4 linked regions of the Tamandua tetradactyla genome follow. The protein of the gene in region 3 purifies or fractionates together with the protein of the main gene of each other region. This does not show direct contact. Links are inferred from orthologs where the notes say so. Each region holds a gene or a part of one and is shown on either strand. Other genes may lie near its edges.

Region 1 (7,797 bases), on a different chromosome or scaffold from region 3:
CTTCAACAAATGGTATTGGGACAACTGGATATCCACATGCAAAAGAATGAAGTTAGACCCCTACCCTTATACCATATACAAAAATTAACTCAAAATGGATCAAAGGCCTAAATCTAAAAGTTAAAAACTAAAAAACTCTTAGAAAATAGCAGAGGGGCAAATCGTCATGACCTGGGATTAGGCAGTGGATTTTCAGATATGACCCCAAATGTGTGAGCAACAAAAGTTAAAAAAGATAAACCAGACTTCATCAAAATTAAACCTTTTGTGCATCAAAGGACATTATCAAGAAATTGAAAAAAACAACCTATAAAATGGGAGAAATATTTGGAAACCATATAACTGATAAGGGTTTTATATATATATATATATATATATATACACACACACTCACACATAAACATACAAACACATATATATATACATGTATTCATTTCTGTTTCAAAGCAGAGCTGTAGATATGCTTTTCAAAAGTTATAGTGACAGGTACAAGGCCCTCCTGCGGTGTAGCTGAAAACCAGCTACTTCAGGAAATATGTTTACAAATTCCGAACTCCCTACCTTTGGAGATAACATTTCCATCTGTACTGGTTTCACAGAAGCTGTAGGTTTTAGTTGTTTGTTGACATTTGCCGTTTTGATGGTTCGCACTGGTACTTTGGTGTTCTGAGCTTTCTGGAAAGAAACAGAAATGTAAAGAGGACAAACCAACCAGTACTGCCTCTAAGTGCCCTTGCACACAAGCCACAGACTTCATGGTTGTTACCTTGGCTATCTGTGCTGTTCTGGTTGTAACTCTATTTCCGATTTCTTCTAAAACTGCCCGCCTAATGGTCACATGGCTCTTAGCTTTGGGGTTAACTCCTTTGTCAATATTCTCCAAATCACTGGATACCTATGAAAAAAAAATCAATAAAGAGTTGAGAATTTAGAGTACTTTGCTAATGTCAGATACTAAAATTCAGAATTGCTTTGGGAAAGGTAAATATGCTGAGATGTGTGAGAGGGAAAAGATACATTTTTAGGGAATACAGAAATGCTATTTATGATTGATAACATCACTCTAAGCTAAGCAAATTGCTCATCCAATGTATTTAAAATAAAGATAAAGCAGACTGTAAGAAGCTTGAAAGCTTCACTGATAAGCGATTATCTCTCATGTAGCACCCATCATTTAGAGATTATTATAAATCAAAGGCATCTATTTTTAAACATTTCTTTACAGTGACTGATAACAAATATAATTAGGACACAATATTTAAAAGCTATAATAGGGCTGGCTGATTTTTAGAAAGCAGAGGTTTAAAACCTAACCTAGCTTTGATTCTCATGCCACTGTAAAAATAAGAAGTGTCTGTTCTTTGACATGATGTTAGAGATACAGTGCTTTTTAAAATGAAGTTGCTATAGCATGCTCTCTCATATTAAGAATACTTAGAAAGAAAATAGGTTTTGGGGGTAACAAAGTTTTGTCTCACAGTTTTGTCTCAAATTTAAGGAAGGTTGAATTGTATGAAGTAAAAATCATTATTTAATCTTAATTGAACATTTCAGGAGACAGAGTAGTATGTTCTGAGAGTTTCAGGCTCACAATCCTAAGAAAGTTCCCAACCAGGGGTTTGAGTGGAGCTACCAGGATACCACTTGGTAAGATAGGAGAGACAGAGGCCCAGAAGAAAACCCAAGTCTTCTTGAACAGAAAAAAATTTGACTAGTAAAGAACATGGTGGGGAGAGGGGGGGATAAAAAAAAAATTACTTGTCCATTCAACTTAGATTCATGATGGGATGAACTGAATGTTGAAAGTATTCAACACATTACGATTCGCAAAATTCCCATGTTCAATTTTTCCAGAGCAACTGTCAACTTTAAAAACAACAACAACAAAGTTGGGTAATGCTGATGGGTTGAAGCCTGGTAATGTGCCTAAGTTAAAATTCATCTGGAAGGAAAAATTGGCAGCTTTTAACTAGCATTTCAGTCAGGACAATGGAACTCAGGTGGGTCAGGCCCTCATGTTTTCAGCAAAGGAAAAGTAGGTCCAGGTACAGGACAAACATCTGAAACAACCTAACACTGTGATTTCTGCAAAGGTGAAATAAAGGAATTTGAACCCTTCTCTCCCGGTATGCCATACTGATCCAAATTATAGGCAAACTTTGTATTACATTGAAGTAAAAAAATAAATAAATTAAGGACAAACATTAGTGAGCTTAGCTTACAAGACTTACTGCGCAGTAATAAATGGGAAGCTCAGACAAAGAGAAATGGGGGTGAGAGGGTGGGGCAGGCCATGGCAGTTGCTAGATCCAACATTCAGAATTTCTTCCGGTTTTTCCTCCCGCACCCACCACAGATCCCTTAACAAGCAGAGTTATGAAAGAAGGAGGAGGAAATCCCACGAACCTCCATTTGGATAGCGCTTTAACAACAATGGGCACTTGGGACTCGCCCTCCGTGTACAAGGAAGGTCCAGAGCTCTGGGGTCTGGGGGCTCATTGACAGGTACATCCCCGAAGCGCTTTCCTACACCTCTCCCAGCCCAGGGCAGGGAGGGGCCCGACCAGGGAGAGGGAACCCGCAGAGGCCAACCGAGGCGCCGAGAGGCCGACCAGGGAGGACCGGCCACTGGGCCCGGAATGCAGAGGAAGCGAGGAGCCCCGGAGAGGCGAAAAGTAGCACTGGTTGGGATGACCAGACTCAAGGCCGAAAAGAGAGAGAAGCGAAAGGAGGGCGAGGGGACTGCAGGGCGGAAGCGGCCGGCCCGTGTGAAGGGGCAGCCGGGCCCACTCACCGTCGGGCGTCGGAGCAGCGCCATTAGGGACAGGGAAGGCAAGAGTGACAGCCGGGCCCAAGGAGGGACGCGGTCTGGAGAGGGAGGGCACAAGCCTCCGCGGCGCCGTTAGGTCAGCCCTTCCCACCCGCACCGCTGGCGATTTTCAGCGAGGTCGCCTTGTTCCAGGATTCAAATACCGCGCCGTTCGCGCCCCCATTGGGCGGCCCTACGTACGGCGCGCTCTTCTCATTGGCTAAGCCAGGAGGCATTCCCGCACACTGATTGGTTGGATTTCCCGTAACCTTTTTGGTTGTCACAACAACGAGTTCCCTCCCCCCCCTCCCGTTCTCGGTCTTTTTTTTTTTTCTTTCTTTCTTTTTTCTTTTTTTTTTTTTTAACCCAGGCGTCTAAGAAAAAGAAAAATATCTTATTGGGAAAGCAGACGTAGGAAGCCTTCCCTGAATTTTGACATGTCCTCGCCTATGGATGTTTCTCGTTTGTACTGGGTGGGCAGAAGTTGGTTCTAGAGAGTACCCTGGAAATGCCATTTCCGACCTTTATTCCCCGGCCGAAAAGGTCGAGTTGGAGTTGAGGTTGCGCCGGCTGAGGGCTGCGCGGTGTTAGATGGTGAGCCTCCAACGCGGGCTGAAGGAGTGGGAATTCTCTAAAACTGAGTTCCAAGGAGAGGCAAAACACAACAACAACAACAAAGGGTAACAGCGATTTGTGTGACGATTCTCCTTTGTGCTCCTGGCACCTAGCACAACAGCGGACAAATGGGCGGTGCTTAGTAAGTATTTGTTGGAAATCCGGTCAGTCCTATGACGAAAGACGGTTTTAAAAATAAGAAACAAGGTGTGACCCCCAACCTTGGAGAGAAGAGTGGATCCGCGACTGCAAAAAGAACTGGGATGTTTGCTTTGAAAGAGAGAAGAAGGAAGTGGGTGATGAAAGTCAAGACAGAACGAGAAAGAGGAAAGAGGAAGGGAATGGTAGAATGCCCACAGCACAGCAGTGAATGGAATGACTCGTGATATCAGGCTCAATCCACAAGTTTTCCCATCACTCCTATTTTATGACGCTGTTTAAAAATTATGGCCCACAAAAACAAAAAAATTAAAAATAAAATTATGGTTCACCTCTCAGTTACTCGGGTACAGATGATCAAGGTGGTAGGGTAAGGTTTAAATGACGATTTAAGAGACCACGGTTAAATACCTTCCTTGCCTCACCCGCTTTTGGCTTTAAGGCATCTGACATTTTTTAACCTGTTTCCTCTTCTGTAAAACGGAAATACTTCTGGCTACTTTGTGGCACAGGAATATATTTAGTGATTCCACGTACTATAATAGGTCTGTTTTAGGGCACCGGGATTGTGAGTAAAATCATTGTATGTTTGCCTTTGTTACATTGTAGTGTTAGCAAAAGATACAACATAAAACTAACAACCCTTGGCAATTCCCAGGACTTTGAAGACAGAAATGTTAGGAAGAGTGAAGTGCTTTTATTAACTGACTCTAGAAAGATTACTAGATATTGTCAAAATCTAGTGATTTAATCCATATTATCAGGAGATATCTTTATTAAAAGATAGGGGAAAGATTTGTTGTTTTGTATTCCTTAGTGCAATTACCCCGACACTTACACCAACTCTTTTTTTCAACCTCTTAATGCATTGTAGTCTTCTGGTATTTTTACTTTCTATTTCCTCCTGTCTTAAATGACAGTTATCGATCACATGTCCTATGTACTAATTTACATAAACTTTCTCATTGAATCTTCATAAAAATTCTTACAAAGTAGGACTATTATCTCAGTTGAACAGATGAAGAAATGTAAGCTGGGAACAGTTAACATGTCTCTGATAATACTACTTTTTAAAAAATATTTTTATCGTGAAATCTTCACACATATATATACAGTCCATACATGGTATACAATCAATGGCTCACAATATTATCACGTAGTTGTATACTCATCACCATGATCATTTTAGAACCTTTGCATCACTCCAGAAAAAGAAATAAAAAGAGAAAAAAAAAAAAAACAACTCAGACATCCCATACCCCTTACCTTTCCCTGTCATTGACGACCAGTATTTCCATCTACCCCATTTTTTACCATTTATCCACCCCCTATTATTTATTTATTTATTATCCTTATTTTTTTTTTACTCTTCTGTCCATACCCTAGATAAAAGGAGCGTCAGACACAAGATTTTCACAGCCACACAATTACATGGTTAAAAGTATGTCATTATATTTGTCTTCAAAAATCAAGGCTACTGGAACACAGCTCAACAGTTTCAAGTGCTTCCCTATAACCACTCCAATATACCATAAACTGAAAAGGGGATTTCTATATAATGCATAAGAACAACCTCCAGGATAACCTCTCGATTCTGCTTGAAATCTCTCAACTATTGACAGTTTATTTTGTCTCATTTCTCTCTTAATCCTTTTGGTCAAGAAGGTTTTCTCAATCCCTTGATGCTGGGTCCGGCTCATCCCTGGAGTCACGTTCCACATTGCCAAGGAGATTTGCAGCCCTGGGAGTGATGACCCACATAGCGGGGGAACGCACTGAGTTCTCCTGCTGAGTTGGCTTAGAGAGAGAGGCCACAACTGAACAACAAAAAAGGTTTCTGGGGATGACTCTCAGGCATAATTATAATCAGCTTAGCCTACCCTTTGCAGGAGTAAATTTCATAGGGCAAACCCCATGATCGAGGGCTAAGCCTATTGATTTGGTTGTGCCCACTGCTTGCAAAAATATCAGGAATTCCCTAAATGGGGAAGTTGAATATTTCCTTCTTTCTCCCCAGTCCCCAAGGGGACTTTGCAAATACTTTTTTATTCTCTGCCCAAAATACTCTGGGATATATTGGAGCCTCACACTTACCTGCACAGACAAACAAGATCTCACACCCTATTCAAGATTCCATGTACTTCTGGTATTCAACTAAACTGACCATAAAAGTTAAATTAGGTAATGCGCAACCCAAAATACAAACTTTGCACCAAATAAACATCTTTCCCTTTGGTCTCACACAAAAGTACCATATCACCCTTTACCCTGAATTCTGATTTACCTTACTCCTATCCGGATCAGATTCATTCATATCTCTAGTCAAAGTCTGATCACTGTTTCAACTTTTTAAACAATTTCTGTGTTGGGTAATGGTGAGTTTCATAGCTTCTAATGGTGAGTTTCATAGCTTCCGAGCTCTAGCTCAGTGTCTCAAGTGTCACATAAATATCTGAAGTTTCTGTGAAAGACCATGTTATACACAAATAGCTCACTATCTCAGAATTTAGAAATAACAGTTGCAACTCGTGAATATATGTGACTGGTGTAAAAGCTTACAATCTAGGACCCTTTACAATAGGTCCCAACCTGATAACTTCTCAACTTCAGTACACCAAGTTTGTATATCATAACTAGTCCATATGACTGATGTATTATATTTTTTATTTTTTGCTTCTGTCATTTCATTCAATATACAGTCCTTAAGGTTCTTTCACCTAGTTGTATGCCTCACGGCTTCATTCCTTCTTCAGTGTTCAGTAGCCCATTGTATGTATATGCCACAGTTCCTCATTCCTACCCTCAGTCGTTGTACCCTTAGACCACTTCCATCCATTGTGGATCGAGAACATTGTCACCATAATCACCAGTGTGCAAATATCCATTCGTGTCCCCATACTCAGTTCCTCCAGGTATATACCTAGCAATGGGGTTGCAGGATCATATGGCAATCCCACCCCTAGCCTCCTGTGGAACCCCCACACTGCCCTCCAAGGGGCTGCACCTCTCAGCTTCCCTACCAACAGTGAATAGATGCATCTCTTTCTCCACATTTTCTTTAGCACTTGTTTCTCTCTGTTCATTTTTTGTTTTTCCTTTGTTTTGTTGTATTTTTGTTTTTTTTTTTCAACGCTCATGAACACTTTAGCTTTATTGGTGCAAAATTAAATTAATGATAATATACTGAATTTACAAAGACACATTTTAAAGACACTGGAAGCACAAAGGAAAGTATAGCTCCTCATTATAATGTTCCTGGAATGTTGCAAAAAAAAATTGACTATTGGTAAATCAATTTGTGTTTCAAATGCACTGGGAAGATAACTATAAAAGAAATGATTTTTAAAGTTCCTATGTAGAAAGAAGAATCTTCTTGTATCACAAATAATCATTGTAATGTTTTTCTGTTCAGTTGGGCTTTTCTTCCTGCAGTAAGTTTTTTTAAAAACTTTTTTTATCGTGTAATATAACATATATACAAAAATGCAATATAATTCAAAGTCCATTGTAACAAGTAGTTATACAACAGATTTCAAAGTTTAGTATAGGTTACAGTTCCATAATTTCAGTTTTTTCCTTCTAGCTGCTCCAAGATACTGGAGACTAAACGAAATAGCAGTATAATGATTCAGCAGTAATATTCATTTGTTAAATCCTGTCTTCTCTGTTATAACTCCTCCTCCTTTAAAATAAATTTTTATTGATAAATCTTCACTCACGTACATTCCCTATATGGTATACAAGCAATGGCTCACAATATCATTACATAGTTGTGTATTCATCATCATGATCATTTTTTAGAACATTTGTATCACTGCAGAAAAAGAAATAAAAAGAAAAAACCTCATATATGTACCCTATACCCCTCCCTCTCACTAACCACTAGCATTTCCATATACCCAATGTATTTTACCTTTAGTTCCCCTTATTATTTATTTATTCTTTATCTATCTATCTATCTATCTATCTATCTATCTATCTATCTATCTATATACAGGCTTTTTTTTTTTGCATGGGCAAGTAAAAAATTGAACCTGGGTCTCTGGCATGGCAGGCAAGAAGTCTGCATGCTGAGCCACTGTGGCCCACCCTACCCATATTTTTTTAATTATCTGTCAATACCCTGGATAAAAGGAGCATCAGACACAAGGTTTTCATGATTCCACACCCACATTGTAAAAGTTATATCTTTATACAGTCATCTTCAAGAATCA
Region 2 (6,963 bases), on a different chromosome or scaffold from region 3:
TTAGGACACCTTGAAAGTCACCCATGAAACCTCAAGTTTAGAAACCCTGGTTTAGTGTTATTGAGAAACAAGGTCAGATGGTCATCTCTACTTCTACCCCTCTTGAAAACTTTTCATTACCAGGATTTGACTGCTTGAGTCCACCTTGGACAAACTAGCTTGATATGAAAAATGTGTTATTTCTTGACTATTTCACAGTAGTTTAACTAAAAAAAATTTTAAAGATAATTTTAATTACAACAAACTAGAAATCTAAAAAATTAGTTATTTAAATTAGATATAATGTTAAAAAAATCAAGTAATAATTCAAGGATATTTTTTATTCCTTTGAAGTCTTATGGTTCATTAGTGGCAACTAAAACTTACGAGATTTCAAAATTGTTCATAGCAGGTATTAAGCAAGCATGTTTTAAAAACCATGTCTGTTATATACACCATAATAAATGCTTTAGGTCTAAATAGCTAATATAAAAAAAGAAACACATTCCACAAATAAATGAGCAATTCCCTTCAAGTGCCACAGAACAATCTTAAAAACGTGAGACTGAAAAGCCTATCAAAAATAAGTTTTCAATTATTTTGGTTAAAAATGCAAAGAACTTTCTCCCTATTTAGCTGTCAGTTTTTAAAAAGCTAAAATAGAAAAAGGATCAATCAAGTAACTCGTGAAAAGTTTCACTTTCAAGTACATTGTCCTTGCAGAATTCTCCTAGCTACAGTCATGTGAAAAATCACGTTTGGAATAGGAGCCTTTAAATACAATAGTTTTGCCATTATTAGAACTAGCGGTTATGTTCAAAATGACCTACCTATTCTTGAACTGTACTAATACAGACATGGCGGCTTTGTGGTCAACGCCAAGCACATTTAGTACCCCAAATCAAACAGCTTCCAAAACATTCTTTCCACAACAGCAGTGTCCCGCTCAAGATATACAACCAAGCAGTTAGTAAACAGCTATAGTGGGTGGGAAGAAACCACTAATGCTTTCTTTTCTCCTTGGGCCCTCAATCCTAAAATCCACTCACTGGATAGCACATTTGAGGGATTATCCAGCAAAGTTGTGACTCTACAAGTGACTACCAAAACATGTTCACTGCCACTTCAAACTAACTAGGCAGGCAGCGTACACACTGCCAGGTACCATCCAAAAATTAGAAAATCATAACCACTGCTTAATGATTATGATTACTTCACACCAGGTCAAAAAACAAGTCGCTACAAGGCAACAGACTGCTACTTAGGTGTATGGGCAATCGCCTGCTTCATTCAGTAGAAACACACCTCATTAAGGCCCGCCCTCCCTTGCTTCCCACTCGAACCGATTTGCAGCACTTCTAACTATAGCATACTGGAGCACGCACTCACCCCGCCCATACTCGGAGGAGGCTTTTAGACCAGCAGCCTTAAGTTCACCGCCCCGTTCTCTATGCAGCATGGCCTCGGCCTGTTCAGAGGTCCCGGCTCGGCAAATATTTCATGCTTCCTCTACCACACCACTTCCTCCCACCTCCCCAAACTGGGAGACATCGGGATGAAGGAGGATCAGGGCATCATACACTCTACAATGCCAGCAGTAAACGATTCCATCTCTTTACACTCTCATGTCGGAACAAGAAAGTACAACACGGAACCCCGCTCACAGAGCCGTGAAAAAAATTAATCTTTCCTACTTCTCATCCCACTCTGATAAAAGCCAGAAAGCTTTTGAGTTTCCTTGCAGGAGGAACAGGGACTCGGCAGCCCCTCCCTCGCCAGATCCCAAGCTCTCCACTGGAGCGGGCCACGTGATGCAGGCGGACGTTTCAATGCTGCTGCACTAAATATTTCTGGAAACTTCCACTCCTGATAATTTAGAGATGTTCCTGAAATCACCCCAACTTCTCTTCCACTCCCGCGCAGGGCCTCGCTCCACTACCACGCTCCTTGCCTTCTTCCACGGCCACCCGCACACGCGAGTGACCGAGCAGGCGCTCCCCTCCCGCGGCCGCCTCCCCGCCTGCATCCCCCAGCGGCAGAAGAGGCTCCATTCAATCGCAGGATCCTCTCTGGGCCCGGCGCGCCCCCGGCCCGCCGCCGCCGCCGCCGCCGCCTCCCAAGCTCGCCTCCCGCGGCCGCCGCCCGCCCCACGCCGGCCTCCTCCCGCCGGGCCACCGCCTCCCGCCCCTCGGCCCCGAAGACACAGTCGACTTACCGAGAGATTGAACCAACTGCTTCTTCCTTCCTTCTCGGGGAATTAGGGCGAGGGAAGGTGGGAAGGGGGAGAGGGGAGGAAATCAAGGTGGGTTTCTCAGTTTTCCCACCTTAAAAAAGGAAAAATTTTAAAAAGGAGAGGAAAATGGCAAAAAAAAAAAAAAAAGCTGAACAATATTTACTATTTCAGGGGCACCTCCCCCCAACACACACACACACACCCGCCCCCCCCCCCCAAAAAAGAAAGGGGATTAATCTGTGGAACAAATGCTCCCGCCCGGCCGGGGAGTGAGGGAAGGGGGAGGGGAACGGGGTCAAGTCCCAAAGATTCAGCCCCAGGGGGACCCTCCAGCCACAGGCAGCAGCGGGAGCGGCAGGAGTAGGGGGTGTAGAGTCCACACGGTCGGGGGGACGCTCTGCTGCCAGTTGCAGTCCGACTCCCCCCACCACCAAAATACGGCTCCCTCTCTCACGCGGCTCCGGCGCTGGGCCCCCCCACCCAGGCTCGCCTAAACTTTCCCCCCTTCTCCTGCTTCTCAGCGGCTGGTGGTTCCCCCCTCCCCCTCTGGGTGGTTGCACGGACTGCAGCAGCAAAGACGGGAACAGGCACCGCCGCCGGGGCTGTAGCTACTGTTGCTCTTGCTGATGCTGTAGCTCCCGCTGCTCCTGCCGCGGCCGCTGCAGCCGCTTCTCCCCCTCCTCCTAGTGCCTCAAACTCGGAACCGGTTGAAACCGGTTCAGACTGGGAGATTCCATCTCGGTTGAGTTTTCAGCCCATGGCGCCGCGGAGCGTTTGGAACCTGGGCCTCCGCCCCCAGCCCACCCGCCTATTGGTCGGTTCCAGCCACAGCCGCGCCATCATTCTAGCTCTCATTGGCCTGATCGCCCGTCAGTCCCACCTCAAGGCTCCATACGAGCCCGCCGCTTCGGCCCCCGCCTCTTTCCAGCAGCGATTTGCCCGCAGAGTGGGGGAGGGGAAGTGGGGCGGGTCGAAAGCGAGAGAGAAGGGGGGGTGGAGGAGGAGGTGGTGGGGCATAGAGCTGAGCCCAGCAGAGAAGGGAGAGAGCGACGCCGCGTGGAGGATTGGTTCAAGAGAGCTGTCAGTCAAATGCAACCCGCCCCCCAACTTCCCTTCCCCCTCCCGCGGCTCCCCCTCCCAGTTCTTTGCCCGCAGGCTCAGCCTTTCCGGCCCGTTCATTGGCTGGGCGCGTTTGGTGACGGAGAGGGTGGGGCGCAGCTCGGGAGCTGGTGGCTGCGCGAGTCTCCTCGCGGCGCGCGGCTCCGTTGGGTTGACTTCTCCCGGACCTGCGCCGACCCGCCCCCTCCGGCTCCCGCCAACCTGCGGGGGGCCTGGTCATGCGGGGATCTGACCCGCCTCTCGCATGCGGGCTACGCTCCCAAAACGGAGGGCACGCCTTTTTTAAATTTATTTTTTAAATCGGGAGGGGTGGGAAAAAAAGGTTAAAATTTTTTGTAAAAATCGGAGGCCGATTGTAGGCCCCGGACCACTTTAACCCACTTTAAGAGTGGGTTTGGGCCAGAGAGTTGAGGGTGAGAATAACCGTGAAAGAGGTCTGGATAAGGTGGGGCGTGTACCCCCTGCGCTTGGTAATCTCATTATCCTGAAAAAGATACCCGAGTAGTTCTTGGGCACGAGTCTCTTTAAATGTTAGCGCTATGTCTCTTCAGGCTGGAATTTGGCTGCTTCAACAACCAACCCTGCCTGGTTAGAAGTACATTCTAAAAACTAATTGTACCCCGGCAATTGGTTTAACAGCGTTTATTTTTGCTTGTTAAACTTGCATACCAACTGCCTCCCACCTGGTGTCCTTGATCTGCCCCCACTCTCCGTTTTTCTTTTCAGCTTAGATGCCCTTCACAACTTCATCATCATCAAATGGTATTTTCTATGAAAATTACACGCTCGTGGCCTTTCACGTGGTTACCTCTTGTTTGTCCTGAAGTGCCCTCCAAATCAGCTTTGCTAATTGTTCTTTGCTTGAGAACAGCCCACCAAAACTTTCACTGAGCCCGCTCTGCCACCAAGAGGTTGATAAATAGTTTATTAAACCAACGGAGTTTTCTTCAGTAAATGCAAACAATGAGCAATGGCTAATAGCACCACTTAAGAATGACTCCTGCCCCTCCACTACAGAAAACCCCAAAAACAACCCAACACTTAGATTTACCAAAATGATATTGGATGAGTTTCAGACATAGAGTGTTTATTCATTGTCTAAGGGAATCATATCAAATCGTAACAAATCTAATCCAGAGGATATGTAATATATGGTATAAGATATAATGTATGTGATATATACTGATCATTTGGAATACTTATGTTCTATTACCAGAAAAACTGGGACTGTCCTGTTTTAAAAATGTTCACCCTCCCACCATTTTAAGCTCTAGAACCAGGCCACAAGGTCCTGATTTTTGAGATTGGAAGCATAGTAGGAATAAAAACAGCTGGGAGTAAGACCTGGCTTTACTTGGAATGTGACCTTGGGCAAGTCACTTCACCTCTTTGGGCCTCAGTTTCCTTCTTCCCCATTTAATGAGGCTGACATTCTCCATGCCTCTCTCACAGAATTAGTGTTGAGAATCAAATGAAATAATGTTAGCAAGGGAACAGTGTAAATCATAAAGCACTTTGTGGATTGTAAAATTCAGATAGTCTCTGTTTACTATCCCCAACTTTAACCTTTTCATCCTATCTTTAAATCACACCCCAAGAGGTCATATCTGTCTGACCATAGTGAATCAGATGTAAATATTTGGTTCATCTTTTGCCTGGGGTTAGCTGAAGAGTTTGTGGCAGAAAATGGTACATTCAAAATAAATTTGTTGTCTAATTAACAACTACAAAAAGGACTGACTTGCATGCACCTTCCCAGGAGATGCTAAGCAAGCCAGAACCCAGAGTTATATTCTCTAGGAGCTAAGTGATGGCCCATAAACACTTAAAGAGGAAATCACAGCAAACAGGCTGAAAGCAAGGATCCTAGGTGCTAAGGACCAGCAGATGCCAGCCATGTGCCTTCTCAGCTAACAGGAGTGTTCTGGTTGGCATCAGCCTTTCGTGAATGAAGATAACTTCTTGTTGGTGCCTTAATTTGGGCATTTTCATGGACTTAGACTGTAAACCTGTAACTTTTTAAATTCCCTTTTTAAAAAGTCATTCCATTTCTGGTATATTGCATTCCAGCAGCTTAACAAACTAAAACATCATATAAAATATTTTGAATTAATAATAAATTAAAAACTTAAAAGTGAGTTAAAAAAACAAGAAAAAAAGAGAGTGGGGCAGATAATTGAGTTTGATCATATTTTCAGAATCAAAATCGAAACACGAGGTCTGACGTATTAATTGTCTAGTACTTTTTTCATTTGTTGGAAGCAAACAGATTTTGAACTTTAGAGTGAGATATGGATAGGGAAATGTATATAAACCATATTGAATGTGTATCTGGTATCTAGCAGGGTGTTAGGACTTTTTGTACAGTATTTCACTGAATTCTCACAGCAGTTTTGTGAGAGAGTTATTATTTTGTAGATTTTTCTCTTTCTCTGTCTCTCTCTAACATACTCTCTCCCCTGCCACTCCGACACACATATACCACCCCAAAGTGGTTGGATCACTATTAGAACTAAATTTCTGGTCTTTCTATTACTCAACATTGTCTCACAAAACAATAACATTGTTAGAAATAAGAGAAAGAGAAGTCCATAACTACAGTAAAAATTTAAAGTCCTCCTTCGTATACTTCCCCCAACCTTCTGACTCTCAGAGATAATCATTAACAGAATACCGTGCATACTTTGAGATATTTTCTAAGCATTTATAAACATATTTGCTTTGTGTTTTGTTCAACATATATGATGTCATACTACATATATTCAGTGACTTACTTTTTACTCAACAAGCCAGAATGTGTAAATCCACCTCATCCTTGTTAACAGCCTCATAGTCTTCCACCTTGTCTTGGTACTGTAACTGATTCAACCATTCCGCCGAGGCCTATAGGCTATTTCTGGTTTTCTCTCTTACAAATAATGCTGCAGCGAATATCTTGGTACATTTATCCTTGTGCACAAATGTCAATATAGTTCTAGGTTAAAGTCCTAAAAGTGGAATTATTGTTTCAGAAGGTACATATATTTGTTATTGTTATAAATATTGGAAGATGTTATCAATTTACATATCAAACAAAATGTGTGAACAGTGCCTGTTTATTTCACATAAAACCCATCGGTATTTGCTGTTTCCTAAACAGATGATCAGATCATAATACATATCTATAAGGAAGTTCTTTATAGTCACAAACAGAGTCTGATGATTCAAATGGGCAATCTTTGCATATACATTTGACCTTTGGGCTGTGAAAGCAACATCAATGACTCTGCATTCCTCAAGGAATATATAAATAATAATATTAAATGCACATGTAATGTAGTAAGAAAAATAAGGAAAAGATAAGCAATAAATCTATTACTTTAATAATGGCATTGGTCTTTTCACTGTTTTTGAGGAAATTAATACCACTTTTTTCTGAGGGATATAGTAGTGGCCTTCCAACATAGATTTCTTCCAACCAGAGATAAAAAGCAGGCACTTGAACTAAAAATACCATGAGTCTAACTAATCACATATTCGGGTATTGAGCTCAAATTGTATTTCACTGGGCTTTTTCTTCCAAGGAGTCTAACTTCATATGATCTGAAGGGATGCACTGGACAAAATGCTTCTCTGTAATATCTTATTAGGAG
Region 3 (7,745 bases):
CTAGTATTCCTGAATTGGCAATATTTATGGACAAATGCTTCTCTGTGTGCCAGTAGATCTGATTTACTGTGGTTTTGAAGAGCAAAGCTATCAGACCAGTAGAGCTTCAGGTATTAAGGGAATTTTTTTACAAACTTCCTCATTTCATATAGAACTGTAATATAAAGGTTCTATAGTGCTGTTTTGTATAAGCTCTAAAAAATATCACACGTATAAGGAGAAATCATATATATTACATTCCAAATTGCTTAAAAATAGAACAAACTTGATTCCCACTTAAATCCCTGTGTTTTTATTTTAAAATTTTTATAAATGATTTGAAACATTAATATCAACATTTATTCAGATATTTAAGTATAGTATATTTTTTGGGGGGAAAAAGATATCGGGGTCCTTGTCCTTAAAAAGTCTGTAAGCTATTAGAATATAAGTAATTTCATTATTATAAATCGCTATAATCTAAGAAAATTTGGTGCTGAATTATACAAATTAGCTATTTGCGTAGATCAGATTTTAGTAGACAGAATTCTCCCCTTCCCTTGTACTGGTTAAATCTATCCTCAGGAAGCCCTGGTATCTACTGTCCATTTCCCCTACAAATATCCAAATCGTTCTATTACAGCACGATTAGCATACGCATGCTGACGTGGTCATGGATTGCTTCTCTGGTAGAGTAAATTTAACTTCTGCTTCCCAACTTCAGTGCTACCACTGTAGTATAGTTTAGTATATTTGAGCGTTCCATTTTGGATTTTTTTTAAATATGCAGTTTCCTTCTCTCTCCCAAAAACTTGCAAGAAAACAGGAAAAGTGACAGTCTGTGAAAGTGACAAAAGATAAAAGATAGCAACATACCACCCTATTCACATTTCTAACCACTTGATTAACCAAATGGAGTTATTTGTACCTAATTCTTCCCTCAAATTTTAAATTTAATCATTTCTGTGTATGGCTTAGAATCTACTGAATCCTCCAGAACCTCTGAAATGAATTCTCATGAAGTGGGACTGAGGCTTACCCCAGTTTTGTTCAGATGGGGAAAGAACCTATTGTTCTCAGCATGTTTTGGTGGGGCTGACAGGGAAATGACATTCCTAGCAATGGGCCCTCACTACCACTGCTTGCCTGGGACACTTGTTCTAGTTCAGTGTATCAAGGGAAACGTTGAAGAATTACAGTATCCCCAGAGTGATTCCAAGCCTTCTTCATCCTACTTTTCTGATCTCACAAAATATAAACATCACAAAACCCCATAAGCTCCTAATCTGCCAGCAACCAGTCAGATCAGCTATCTTGGAGTCTGAAGGTCCACGGGTTCCTGCAGCCCAGTTTGGGTGTCAGTTATATGCCTTAGTGATCAACCCACCAAATGATTTACGTTTGACGTCTTCTGAGGCCCGGCTTCTTGGGCGTCTGCTCCACTGAACCAGCGTTCGGGGAACTGTCTGAAACATTTTCTTCTGTTCTGTTGGCTTTCTTGTTTTGAGGAGCAGAATCTAGGGGCAAGGAGGAATTTTAGGAAAACAAAACACAAACAAGCTTTGTTAGAAAAAAGCAATGGCTGACAAAAGTTGGCCCGTGAGTCAACTCGTGGAATGAAAAGCCCACCACCTCTACCCACAATCACCAGTGGCCTTTTAGTGCACAAAATAAAGTTGTTTTCACATAACAGAAAGTGAATTCTACGCCCCAAATCTCTCTCTGCCTAGCGGAGAGGGAGACCGTTGATAAACACCCACATTACTACAGCTGCCTAGCAGGGCGGGGGCGGGAACTGCGGTGAGAGAAATGCTCAGATACTACAATCTCCAGCTTCTGATTTAAACATCATAAACAAACAGTCAGGTAGCACGTACAAGCTAAGATTAATAAAGTTCACAACCAAAAGCTACAACAAAGTACACCGAAAAGAAAGAAAACTTTTAGGTAAAGACGTGGGCCACCACCGCCCCCCCCACCCCCGCCCCAACCAGGCAAAGCGGGGCCCCAGACAGACAGACAGACATTTTATTATTTTGAAAGGGTCATTACCGTCTGTTGCAGGTCGTTTCCTTATCCCATTGCACTGCTCCGCTAACCCCGTCTGGCTGTCTGCTGTATCAGTTTTTTGGTCTACCAAATGTGTGTCCTCTGAGTTTGCTGGGGACCCAATTAAAGGCACAGCCTGGCGGTTCCCGCTGACATCCTGGCTCTCCTGTGCGGGCACCTTGCAGGCGCCTTTGGGTGGCCGCGGGGGTCTGTAGTAAAACTCGGGCAAGTTGCTCTTTTCCACCTCTTGCCACTCGTATTTCCCCTCCAGGGGCTTGTGATTCTGAAAATCAAAATTCCACTTGCGCTGGCTTGCCTCTTCCATGTCTCTGCAGTGCTTCTCCAAGTCCCGGGTTAACTCTTCGTGATTCACGGGGCCGAAGAGGTTCCTGCAGGCGGAGGGCTTGGGGTACTCCGCCTGTCTGCCGTCCATCCGCTCCAGGCTCGGGCTCCCGTTAGACACTCGCACGTTTGACATTTTCCTCCCGGGTCTTTACTACCGCCTCTCTCGCGCTCTCAAAAAAACAAAACCGAACAAAACAAAACGCCCCGATCCAACCCAACCCCCTTTTATAAGCCCCGCGATGCCCTCCGAGCCAAGACCAACAAACACTAACAAGTAACTGCCCCGGCTTCAGGAGCGCACTGGGTCTGGGGGAGGGGGAAGGGGAAGCCCCGGAGAGGCAGTGCCGACAGTCTCCGCGGATCAAGTGTGCGGGCGAGCTGGAGGGCGGGGAGCGGAGGGGAGGAGGCAGGGGGAGGAGGTGGAAAAGCCAGTCCAAGTCCCGGCAGCAGCTAACCCGCCGGTCCCGCGAATCAAGCCGCTCTCCAAACCTTGCCGGCGTCAGAATCGCAGCGTGGCGAGAAAGTGGGGAGAGGGGAGGGGGAGAAAAACACCCCGAAAAGACGAGCCCCCTTTTTTTAGTGGCCCAATATGGCGGTGGAAGGGAGGCTGACGAAGAAGAAAATGATTGACACCGCAAGTCTATTTAAACAGAGGAAGAGATCCATTGGTTGCTACGCCGGGAGCCGCCCCGCCGAGGCTGGCGAGCGCGGCCTTAAGGTGGCCCAGGCGCGGTCTGGGCGCGCCGACTCGGAGAGTGCAGCAAGGAGATTGGCTGGTCGCGTGATTGCTGGAGGTGTACTGCTGCCAACAAACCTGCTCTGGCTGGCCCCGGAGAAATTAAAAATAAGACAAACAAACTAGCCAAACGGCCGGGAAGCTGGGGAGGGGCCTCGGCGGCAGGGCAGGCGGGGCCTGGGGTTCTGGTCCCGGCGCTGCGCAGTCTGGCCCGCTGCGGCTGGTAAAACCTGACTTCTAGCTCCTCGCTGTGAAGCGAAGGGGCTGGACCCGAAGGTCTCTAAGGGTGCTTGCAGATTGTGTTGAGCTTCGGTGGCGATCTTATTTTCCCAGCACTCGCCGACCCCGGGTGCGGGCGGTTGAGGGGCAGAGGCAGAGTGCGGGAGCGTTGGTCTGCTGATCTCTCACTAGTGCTCCCACCCCCGCCCCCCACTTCGCGGACTGCTGAGGAGGCCGGCAAACATTTACTAAGGGTTGGGAATACCACCACCACCACCTTCCCGCCTGAGTGTCTTAGTTGTGGAGTGAAGGTGGGCGGTGATTAGTTCATCCTTAATCCAGGAGTCTCTGTTATCCAAGGGGAGTCAGGGGGCTTAGGGTAGAAGTCAGGGCTGTCCGCTTTCTATAAATTAGCCGGGAGTAGGGACAGCATTTTTAATATATTCTGAACTCAAGCTTTCCTGCAATAAAAAAGAAAGGGTCCCGAGATCAAAAGCTGCACTGGTCCCCTAGGTTTCCCAAGTCCCTTAATAAACTTTGTAGCCATCTCAGATACATTTAGGTTTGAAAAGTGAGGTTATACTCCTGGCTCAAGTTCTTGTTTCCCAAGTACAGTTAAGGGTACTGACACTGGCTGCATGTGGGGACTCGTCTCCTTCTCTTTATACTTTATAATTCTTTCCCGGAATGTAGCAGTTTCCTCTACCTGTGTCCCGGCGCCAAACACAACAGCTCCTTCCTTCCTCCACCTTTCTCTCCCACCAGATTCACTGCTCCAACCCACCCAGAACATCAATCAGATGAGAGTGAACGCTTTTAAGGCGTTGCAAGCTGTTGAAAGGTGAACATATTCCCCTAAGGATCAATGTCCATCTTAGGAAGTTTGTTATAAAGCTACCTCAGGTCTGATGTTATTATTTGGGCATTTATTTTTCTGCTCTCCCTTGAAACTTGAAACTTAACCATCAGTTTGGTCTTGAGCAAGGCAGTGGAGGTTGAATCAGGATGGGCAGGTCTGTCATATCTCAGACATAACCCAATGAGTTTTTAACTGCCTCCCACCCCAGCTCCCAATACACACTATTTTAGTTTGGGTCAAAGTTAAGACATTTTACAGGAAATTTATTCACTGCAAATATTACACAGCAACAATATTTTCTCATGCCTTCATGCTAGATGAGTTTGCTCTTTAGCTTGCTTTCACAGCCACATCTTGTTTGTCCATTTTACATGTCTTCCTCATTGTATACACTCCAAAATGGTTGGAGCTGGGAAGATTGTCAGGACCCCGTGGTTCAACTCTCTTATTTGACCAGTGAGGAAATTGAGACTTGGAGAGGTTTCCTGTCCAGGGACACACATCCAGTTGGTACCAGAGTTAGGACTAGACAAGGTCTCCTAACTCTCAGTCTGGTTCATTTTCTGCTCCTTTCCTTTCTAATGATCCCCATTGGTTCACGTTTCCGTCTGAGTTCCCTTGTGCTGTAGCCTGCAAGTCCTCTTCTAGTACAAGTGATTCAAAATGGCTCCTTCCCAGGCCCTAGACTGCCTGCAGATGTTTCCATAATTTGGCTTATGGTCACGGATATTTTAATGCAGAGGACACTGGCCTTTGGCATCACTATCAACTACTTCAACTAAAGTGCACATTCCAAAAGGACACAGGTGCTATGCAGAAAGAGTGACAAAGACAGTGCCCAGAAGTGGTTTCAAAGTCAGGGCTTCCTACCTGACCAACAGAAAATAATTCAGCTGGGATCAAAGTAGGCATTCTCATCCTCTTTGTTTTTCTGCATTTAATGGCCCATTTAAAATATTGGATTGGGGATGGGTGAACAGGAAAGTTAGAACAGCCCTCATTACCAGGTAGTTTATACTTTACCCTTGAAATTAGATCATTCTTGCCCAATTTTTTAAAACATTTTTTATTGTGAAATATACCATATATACAAAAAAGTGGTAAATTGCAAAGCATATTTTAACAAGAAGTTAGAGAACAAATTTCTATGTATGATATGGGAGTTGGGGTAGGGGGAGACAGTTAATGACTCATTGAGTTATGTCTGAGATATGACAGACCTGCCCATCCTGATTTAACTTCCACCGCCTTGCTCAAGACCAAACTGATGGTTAAGTTTCAAGTTTCAAGGGAGAGCAGAAAAATAAATGCCCAAATAATAAAATCAGACATGAGGACATAGTAGCTTTATAACAAACTTCCTAAGATGGACATTGATCCTTAGGGGAATATTTTCACCTTTCAATTGAAATTTCACCTTAGAGCAGTCTCCTAGCTGCTCTAAGACAGTGGAGACTAAAAAGAAATACCAATATAATGAGTCAGTAGTCATATTCATTGGTTAAATCCTGTCTTCTTTATTAGAACTCCTCCTTCTCCCTTGATCCTTCTCCCACTCTTTAGGGATATTTAGGTAATGACCATTCTAACTTCTCCATGTTGAAAAGGGGTGTCAATATTATGGGGTAGGGGAATGCAACATGTTGGAACTCTTGTAGACACTGGTAACTCTGGGTTTCAGAGTTTCTGCTTGTCCAAATTTTTAAATATTTTCTAGACTACACAGGAATTCTATATTATATGTGTGCATGTGTGTAAATATGCACAAATACACAAACTACCAGATGTAAGTCAATGGAGAAATTCTTGAGTATTACCTTACACAGAAGTTTGATGTTATTCATGTAAAAACGTAAGTGGAATTACACAAAATTCCACTTGTATAACAGTGGAAGAGTAACACTTTTATCCCCTACACAATTTTTCTTCGATTAATAGGTAGGAACACCATTTTGTTGCTTTGCTAAACTTGAAAACTAAATGAATCAGTCACGCCACCTTAAGAAGTCTGGCTGCCAGCAGAAAGGCTGTGCTTATGACCTTGCTATGATCTAAAGTGTTTTGTTTACAGTCAAGTCACCGGAGATCTGTACAGCAAATAATGAGAAAGCAGGCGTCTGCTGTAGTAGCGACGAAGCGTGAAAAAATACTATGGAGTCCCCGAGGGAAGAGGGAACGTGGAGATCAGAGCACCATCCTCCTGTGGAAAGTATTCAGCTGCAGGCTAGGCTAGTAAACCAGGGAGAAATGTTCAGATAAACAGTACAAAGGCGGAGCCTGAGTAGAGGACAGAAAGTTCTGCTCTGCGGGCGCTGCTCTAAAATGGGCTCTGCTTCCCCAAGACTCAGAACCTAGTTTGTTGTTTTCACTCCTGTTGGTTTCATACTTAGAGCTGAGAAGTGTCACGTAGGCCACCCCAGAGTTCTGTATCTTTCGCAAGTTGCTAGAGGCAAAGACCAAACAACTTAAAAGAAAGCACCTGCCTAGTAGACAAGTATCCACATGGTGTGGGCGGGCAGCGCGGGTGTTCGCAGATGCAGTCCTCTCTCCCCAATGCTATACAGCCGCAAGCCGTTCTCCCAAGGTGCACAGTGTCTTGCCCAGTTGCCTCTCCCGGTGCAAATACACATTTATTTTTTTACCCTTCCTCGAGGGCTTTTTTAACAAGGTAGCATTAACTCACCCTCACCATTCCCCCAAACTGTTTTGTTTTTAAAGAGATCAGAATTTCAGTCACCTTTTCTGACAGCTTTTTAAATTCGATTTAACAAATATTTATTAAATACCTACTATGTGCCAGACAGTATCCTGGGCTCTGGGGATACAGAAGTATCTCATTCGTACAGATAAAAACTTGAATGACGCTAACATGCTAGAGTGGGGAGGGGAGGGCACAAAATGAGTAAAATATACACTGTGTAAGAAGGTGATACATACTATGAGGAAACATCAAACCGGGGAGAGGAAAAGAGAGTGCTGTCAGGGTGGCGATGTGAATAGAATGGTCCGGGAAGGCCTCACTGAGAAAATGGTCTTTGAGGGAAGCCCGGAAGGATATGAGAAAGCAAGTCATGCAGATATCTGGGGAAAGAGTGTCCCCATAAAGAGAACAGCAATAAGGTAGGATCTTGCCTGGTGTATTTGAAGAACAGTAAGGAGGCCCAAGTAGTGGAGAGGGTTGAGCAAGGTTGGACTGCTAGACCTCTGTAGGGTTTTTGTTTGTTTGTTTGTTTGTTTTTAACATGGGCAGCCACAGGGAATCGAACCCGGGTCCTCGGGCATGGCAGGCAAGCACTCTTACCTGCTGAGCCACTGTGGCCTACCCTCTGTAGGGTTTTTATCATTGACTCTTAGTGATATGGGAAGCCACTGGGCATTGGGAGGTTTTGAGCAATGGAATGATGTGATCTTACCGTGTGTAAGATCTTTTCCCCAGGCGTTACTTTCAGCAGTGTGGAGACAGAAGAGGTGACTAAGTTACAGTCCCTGACTTCAGAGAGTGTAGGCCCTGGATGGGAAGAAGGCCATGTGCACAAAAACTACAGGGGCTGGAAGCAG
Region 4 (7,091 bases), on a different chromosome or scaffold from region 3:
CCTGGGAGCACATAGCTGCAGTGGCTGGCAGCTTCCCTTATATCCTAGCCTTCCAGGCAACTGGTGTAGCTAGAAAAACCCAGATTCTAAACTCACCCACTTCAAAGCAATGCTGAGGCAGAACAATTCCCTCCTCTGGACCTCCTACCTTTTCTGCTGCACAAGGATTTGGACTGACTGGAGTTCTCTGAGGTCCCTTCCAACACTAACCTTCTAGGAAGTTGTCTGCATACTCCACCACCAGCTCAGAGGGAATGAGGCAAGAGTGCTTTTTGACGGTTCTGAAAAACTCCGCTCACAGAAACATACGCACCATCCCAGACTTCTCACGAAAGGAAGTCTTCTACCTTCCAGTCCAAGCCCTCCAAACATCTTGCTTGCTGGCCCTGGAAACCAGCTCCACCTCCAGACTTGCCAAAAACTACCAGATTCATCACAAAGAGCTGTGGGGCCTCCCAGATTCCTGACTCTGGCCTCCTACTCCCATCTCTGAGAGCTACTTGGCAGGAAGAATCCTGTTCCTCGACTCACAAACTCACAGCAGTCAGAGGCCCCAGTACCCTGGCTTCCCAGCCAGCCAATCACAGCAGCCTGCATGCTGCCCTCCTCCCTGGGAGATGGGGCCCAGAGACTTCTCTCAGGGTCAGGAGACTTGGGAGGCCAGGAGCAAGGAGGAGGATGGTGCCAGCTCACCCACCCTCTCCTCGAAGCCCCCCAGGAAATGATCTACAACACACCCTAAATAACCTCTTCCAGGTTCAAGCAGCTCCTTCTCCTTGTCCCCAGGCTCAGTAGGAAAAAACGGGGTGACTCCCCTGCCTTGCCTTAGGAGGAGTGCAACCTAAGTTCCCAGCAAGAGGCCCAGGGAGCCACTTCCCAAACCACAGGGGTGACAGCAGCTCCCCACAGGGTTATGAAAGAGCTTGGTCAGAGTGAGCAGGCTGGGGAGGGGGCATCATTATCACATCGGAAGCAGCTGCAACTCAGCTCCCTGTCTGTCCCTCCGCCCAGGCCTCTGGCTAAGGGGAAAGGGGGAGATGTTTCCACCAGGCCCAAAGCAGCTGCTCAAGCTCCTCGGAATGAAGGCACGGAATGGAGGGTTAGGAAGGAAGTCTTTTCTGGAATATAAGGGGAAGGAAAAAGGGTGGCATGAAGCATCTCAGCCCCTCCTCAGAGCAATCAGGGTCTGGCTTTAATCTGCTCTGGAAGGCTTTTCTATCACAAAGCCCACATAGGGATGAAGACTGTATCAAGGCAGCGCCCCCACCCCCTGCCACCGAAGCACATTCCACTCCCCCACTCCAGCGGTGGTGTGCAAGCATACCTTTCTGCTGCCAATAAATAACCCACGGGGGCTGTGTAAACCCAGAGGCAGAGTACTAGGGTCTGAAGACACGCATTTATTCGTTGCTATCTAGGGGAAAGACCAGAAAAGAGTGGCGCCCCCTGGAGGTCAGGAGGAGGAGGGTTTGTTCACGCTGACAGCTCAAGCCATTATCCACTGCCTCATCTCTCTTTGCCACTGGGATTCCTTTCAAAAATTAGCCGCGGTTTGCCTCAAAGACTTTGCTCCCTTCCTAAAGAGGTCTTTGCTTTCCTTTTCCTGGGAAGGTACCCGGAGAGGGGGTGGGAGCGGAGGTTACCCACCCGCAGTTGGCGGGGAGAGACGGAGTGGTCAGTGTAGATGCACAGTTTTTCGATGGTCAGGGGCGTGGTCTCACGCAGTTTGGAGGCCAGCAGCATGCAGACCGCACCCAGGAGCTGCAACTGCGCCTTACAGGTAGGGACGCAGGACAAGTAGCGATCCAGGTAGTTCATGGCCAGGGGGAAGACTTCCTCCTCACAACGCTGCTCCTCACATACCTGGGGGAGGGCGCACAGTCACTTCTAGGGCAGGGACGAGGGGAAGGCAGCAGCACTATGGGGGAGGGGCGCTGGTGGAATGGGGAGCAAAAATGGACGGGGGGATAAAGTACATACACACTCCACAAGGTGACCCCCGCCCCGCTTCCTCTGCGTGGCCTCCTCCTTCTAGCCCCCGAGGAGAGAGGCAAGAGGAGAGCCCTTCGTTCAGTCGGTCTCTTTCCAATAATTCCAAAATGAGGATCCCCTCCCCCACAGCGAGAGGGAACGGAAGAGGCACCCATGGTAGCCGGGGAGCTAGGACCTTCCCCCAATTACCATCACCCACTGCACACACCCAAAGGGAAGGGAGGCGACTCCCCCACTTTTCATTTCCCTGACGGCCGGAACAGTGCGCGCACCACCCCCACCGCCTTCCCCGCCAGAACCCCGCGACAAGACACAGGAACCGGCTCTGGGGCGGGGGCGGACGTGTCCTGAGTTTTCCAGACTCGCTCTCCTGAGAAGCGGGGGAGGGAGAGAAGCAGAAAAAGGCCGGAGGGGAGAGGATGGCCCTTGTCCCGCTTTCCCGGCCCGAAGACAGAAGGGTTAGGGTGCCAAGGGACTGGAAGGCAGTGTCGGAAGGAATCGATCATAGTTGAGGAAGGGAAGGGAACACCACGTAGGTAGTCAGCTAGGTGCCCAAGTGAAACGCTAGGCCCCAGAGGTCTGGGTCGCCGAAGCATCTTGCTGATTGTTGTTGGGACCGAGATGCCCCAACAGGGCGGCCCCGGGATGTCCGGAGTCCGGGGTGCGGGGGAGGGGTGGGCCTGTCCCGAAGATACCTCCAGCATCCAGTATGCCAGCATCTTCCGCATGTGCGGCTTGATCTCCCTCTGAACGCACTGGAAGTAGGAGGCGCGGGGCACGTAGCGCTCCTCCAGGCGGAGCAAGCTCTGCAGGACACGCTGGTCCCCCAGAAGCCGCGGGTCCGGCCCGGCCCGGGGCGCGTGACGGGTGCCTTCGCAGCACAGCAGCTCCATTCTCCGGCAGCACGCAGGCGAGGCGGGAGTGCGGGCTGGTAAGCCAGAGCGCAAGCGGCCGGCAGAAGAGCGCGGGGCGCGGGTCTGGCGCTGGCGCTGGCGCTGGCAGTGAGCTGCGGAGCCCCAGCCCGCGCGCCGCTTGCGCGCGCGCGCGCCTCTTCCCTGACAGGCGCCCCGCCCCTCGCGACGATGTAGCAACCGAGGAATGCTCAGTCGTCGCAACGTTCCAAGAGGCGGGGCCGCCGGCGCCCCAGAAGGAAAGGCCGGCAGGGCTCTTGCCCCTCCCCCGCTTGGGCGGCCGCATTGACTTCCGGGCCCTCCTGGAAAGAACTTTCTGGGAGGTGGGACTTTTCCCACCAACCCGGGCCTTCCTTTTTTGCTTCTCCGACTCTAATCGCCAATGAAAGAACTTTTCTCCAAAGGTTACTCATTCATTCATGTATTCATTCATCAAACCCTACCTCACCGACTGCATGCTCTAGGAAATCTAATAGCTAGTTCTTACTGAACGCTGTTTTAAGCACTTATGTAATAACGTATTAAATCTTCATAAAAAAACTGTAAGGTAGTACACTTATAGATTAGAAAACTGAGACACAGAGAAGTTATCAAGTCATACAGTCAGTCTGTGACAGAGCTAAGGTTGGAAAGCTGGCCCTCTGACTCCAGAATCTGCTCTGCACCACTGCTGCTCACGCTTTGGTCCCCAGAGCAGCAGTAACAGTAGCAGCAGTAGCAAATCACCTGGGAACTAGATAAAATGCAGACTCTCAGCCCCCACCTCTGCCCTACTGAATCAGAACTTGCATTTTAACAAAATCCCCAGGTAATTCCTATACCGAGTGAAGTGAGAGAAAGTTGGTCTGAATCAGCTCATTACAAAAACACAACAGGGTGGAAAGACTTCGATTCAAGGTCTCACTTGTCATTAAGTTGGCTGTGTGGCCTTGGACAAGCCCTCATACTCAACCTTAGTTAATTTCCCTTTTGGGGAAAACGTGGGCAGAGGAAACAGATCCTCACCGAGGGAGTTTTTGGTTCAGACTTTATAAAACCTGACAGTTGCCATTTCTTTTCCACCTCCCAAACCTGGGATACTTTGTTGTGTTCTCCCAAGCTGGATTCCACAGGACCAAGAGGCAAACCACAGGCCCCCAGTAATGCTCCAAATGAGAGAAGTTCTTGGGGATCCCTGCCTTTCCTGGGGACCCTCACACTTAGGAAACACTGAGGAAGTGAGTTATTAGAGATATGACACTGTATAGAAGAGGCATATTCTATCTATGCTAAGCATTTTCTCAGTGAATTGTTCTTTTCTATATAATAAAGTTTGTTGTATTTTTCATATCATGGAAATATTCATTTGCATTGTAGAAAATTTAGAAGATAAATAATAATCACTTGTAATTTCACTGCCCAGAAATAATCCTTTAAAATGTTTATTTTTATAATCTTTGTTCTAGGAATAAATACACACAGATTTACAAAAATGGCATCATCACAAACTGCTTTGTAAATTAATATTTTCATTTAAAATTTACCATTAACACTTTTCCATGCCAGTAAGAAGTAAAAAGCATCATTTTTAATGGCCACATAGAATTCCACTGGGTGAATGCATCATGATGTGTTTTACCAAACAGGTATGTGCATTGTTGGAAATTTAAGCTTTCTCCTTCTTCCCTATTAGAAAAAAAACCCAAACTAAAACATTTCTGTAATAATATCTTTGTGCACACTCATGATTATTTCTAGAAGTGGATTAATTTCTAGAAGTGGAATTTCTCAATCTAAGGTTATGAAACATGCTAAGGCTTTTGATACAATTCTTATTACCAAATTTCCCTCCTGAAAGGCTGAACCAATCCACTCTCACCAACACTGGGTGCAGGCATACCTCAAGAGATATTGCGGGTTCTGTTCTAGACCACCGCAATGAGACAAATATTGCAATAAAGTGAGTCATAAATTTTTTGGTTTCCCAGTGCATATAAAAGTTATGTTTAAACTAAGCTATAGTGTATTAAGTGTGCAAAAGTATTATGTCTAAAAAAACAATATGCATACCTTAACTAAAATGTGACAGAGACGCAAAGCGAGCACATGGCATTGGAAAAATGTCACCAATAGACTCACTTGACATGGGATTGCCACAAATTTCAATTTGTAAAAAACGGAGTATCTGTGAAGTACAATAAAGTGAAGTGCAATAAAACAAGGTATTCCAGGGTATCTATAAAATGTCTTTGCCAACTGAAGAGATGAAAAGCAGCTTTGTTATTAGTAGTAATAAATATATTTTGACATTATTAGACTTTATACTTTTTATGTAAATTAATTATTCATGTCCTTTGCTCATTCTTTTATGGGGATACTTCTTGTTTTCTTATTGATTTATATGTGCCGATTACATTTCAAGACTATTAACTCTTTTCATATTTTTTTCTTTATCATATGCCTTGCAATTTTTTTTTTAGTTCTTTGTTTATCATTCTTCTTCTTTTTTTTTTTTTGCTAGAAAACAAGTGAGTTGTGCTCATTTTTTTTTTTTTTGCCAGGCACCATATTTTATTTTATTTATTTATTTTTATTAATTAACGGAAAAAAAAAAGAAATTAACCCAACATTTAGAAATCATACCATTCTACATATGCAATCAGTAATTCTTAACATCATCACATAGATGCATGATCATCGTTTCTTAGTACATTTGCATCGGTTTAGAAGAACTAGCGACACACCAGACAAAGATATAGAATGTTAATATAGAGAAAAGAAATAAAAGTAATAATAATAGTAAAAAACAAAAAACAAAAAAACAAAAAAACAAACAAAAAAACGAACAAACAAACAAACTAACTAAACCTATAGCTCAGATGCAGCTTCATTCAGTGTTTTAACATGATTACTTTACAATTAGGTATTATTGTGTTGTCCATTTTTGAGTTTTTGTATCTAGTCCTGTTGCACAGTCTGTATCTCTTCAGCTCCAATTACCCATTATCTTACCCTGTTTCTACCTCCTGCTGGACTCTGTTACCAATGACATATTCCAAGTTTATTCTCGAATGTCCGTTCACGTCAGTGGGACCATACAGTATTTGTCCTTTAGTTTTTGGCTGGACTCACTCAGCATAATGTTCTCTAGGTCCATCCATGTTATTACATGCTTCATAAGTTTATCCTGTCTTAAAGCTGCATAATATTCCATCGTATGTATATACCACAGTTTGTTTAGCCATTCTTCTGTTGATGGACATTTTGGCTGTTTCCATCTCTTTGCAATTGTAAATAACGCTGCTATAAACATTGGTGTGCAAATGTCCGTTTGTGTCTTTGCCCTTAAGTCCTTTGAGTAGATACCCAGCAATGGTATTGCTTGGTCGTACGGCAATTCTATATTCAGCTTTTTGAGGAACCGCCAAACTGCCTTCCACAGTGGTTGCACCATTTGACATTCCCACCAACAGTTGATAAGTGTGCCTCTTTCTCCGCATCCTCTCCAGCACTTGTCATTTTCTGTTTTGTTGATAATGGCCATTCTGGTGGGTGTGAGATGATATCTCATTGTGGTTTTGATTTGCATTTCTCTAATGGCCAGGGACACTGAGCATCTCTTCATGTGCCTTTTGGCCATTTGTATTTCCTCTTCTGGTAGGTGTCTGTTCAAGTCTTTTTCCCATTTTGTAATTGGGTTGGCTGTCTTTTTGTTGTTGAGTTGAACAATCTCTTTATAAATTCTGGATACTAGACCTTTATCTGATATGCCATTTCCAAATATTATCTCCCATTGTGTAGGCTGTCTTTCTACTTTCTTGATGAAGTTCTTTGATGCACAAAAGTGTTTAATTTTGAGGAGCTCCCATTTATTTATTTCCTTCCTCAGTGCTCTTGCTTTAGGTTTAAGGTCCATAAAACTGCCTCCAATTTTAAGTTTCGTAAGATATCTCCCTACATTTTCCTCTAACTGTTTTATGGTCTTAGACCTAATGTTTAGATCTTTGATCCATTTTGAATTAACTTTTGTATAGGGTGTGACATTCTTCTTTTTTTTTATGTTGTGTGGCTGGGGTCACATTTTATTCTTTTTCCATGTGAGTATCCCATTATTGCAGGACCATTTGTTAAATTTGTTTTTGTTTTTTTTGGAAGTACATGGGCCAGGAATTGAACCCGAGTCTCCCACATGGCAGCTGAGGATTCTAC

What was found.
Region 1: the proteins of CDKN1B (region 3) and CCNB2 purify together in Homo sapiens (affinity purification with mass spectrometry; 3 studies listed by BioGRID and IntAct, with this or other methods). This does not show direct contact. The link is inferred for Tamandua tetradactyla from reciprocal best matches to the Homo sapiens genes CDKN1B and CCNB2.
Region 2: the proteins of CDKN1B (region 3) and XPO1 purify together in Homo sapiens (affinity purification with western blotting; 4 studies listed by BioGRID). This does not show direct contact. The link is inferred for Tamandua tetradactyla from reciprocal best matches to the Homo sapiens genes CDKN1B and XPO1.
Region 4: the proteins of CDKN1B (region 3) and CCND3 purify together in Homo sapiens (affinity purification with western blotting; 9 studies listed by BioGRID and IntAct, counting the BioPlex papers as one, with this or other methods). This does not show direct contact. The link is inferred for Tamandua tetradactyla from reciprocal best matches to the Homo sapiens genes CDKN1B and CCND3.

What each region holds. Positions count from the first base shown.
Region 1 is NC_135340.1:74,930,715-74,938,511, reverse strand, and holds the start of CCNB2 (G2/mitotic-specific cyclin-B2), read right to left. Parts: upstream 3,007-7,797; 5' UTR 2,819-3,006; coding exon 2,795-2,818; intron 896-2,794; coding exon 767-895; intron 676-766; coding exon 562-675; intron 1-561. UniProt on the Homo sapiens protein: Essential for the control of the cell cycle at the G2/M (mitosis) transition.
Region 2 is NC_135343.1:34,217,786-34,224,748, forward strand, and holds the start of XPO1 (exportin-1), read right to left. Parts: upstream 3,017-6,963; 5' UTR 2,195-3,016; intron 1-2,194. UniProt on the Homo sapiens protein: Mediates the nuclear export of cellular proteins (cargos) bearing a leucine-rich nuclear export signal (NES) and of RNAs.
Region 3 is NC_135333.1:75,264,087-75,271,831, reverse strand, and holds the start of CDKN1B (cyclin-dependent kinase inhibitor 1B), read right to left. Parts: upstream 3,015-7,745; 5' UTR 2,507-3,014; coding exon 2,032-2,506; intron 1,497-2,031; coding exon 1,375-1,496; 3' UTR 1,367-1,374; intron 1-1,366. UniProt on the Homo sapiens protein: Important regulator of cell cycle progression. Inhibits the kinase activity of CDK2 bound to cyclin A, but has little inhibitory activity on CDK2 bound to SPDYA. Involved in G1 arrest. Potent inhibitor of cyclin E- and cyclin A-CDK2 complexes.
Region 4 is NC_135331.1:99,536,421-99,543,511, forward strand, and holds the start of CCND3 (G1/S-specific cyclin-D3), read right to left. Parts: upstream 3,006-7,091; 5' UTR 2,886-3,005; coding exon 2,688-2,885; intron 1,864-2,687; coding exon 1,648-1,863; intron 1-1,647. UniProt on the Homo sapiens protein: Regulatory component of the cyclin D3-CDK4 (DC) complex that phosphorylates and inhibits members of the retinoblastoma (RB) protein family including RB1 and regulates the cell-cycle during G(1)/S transition.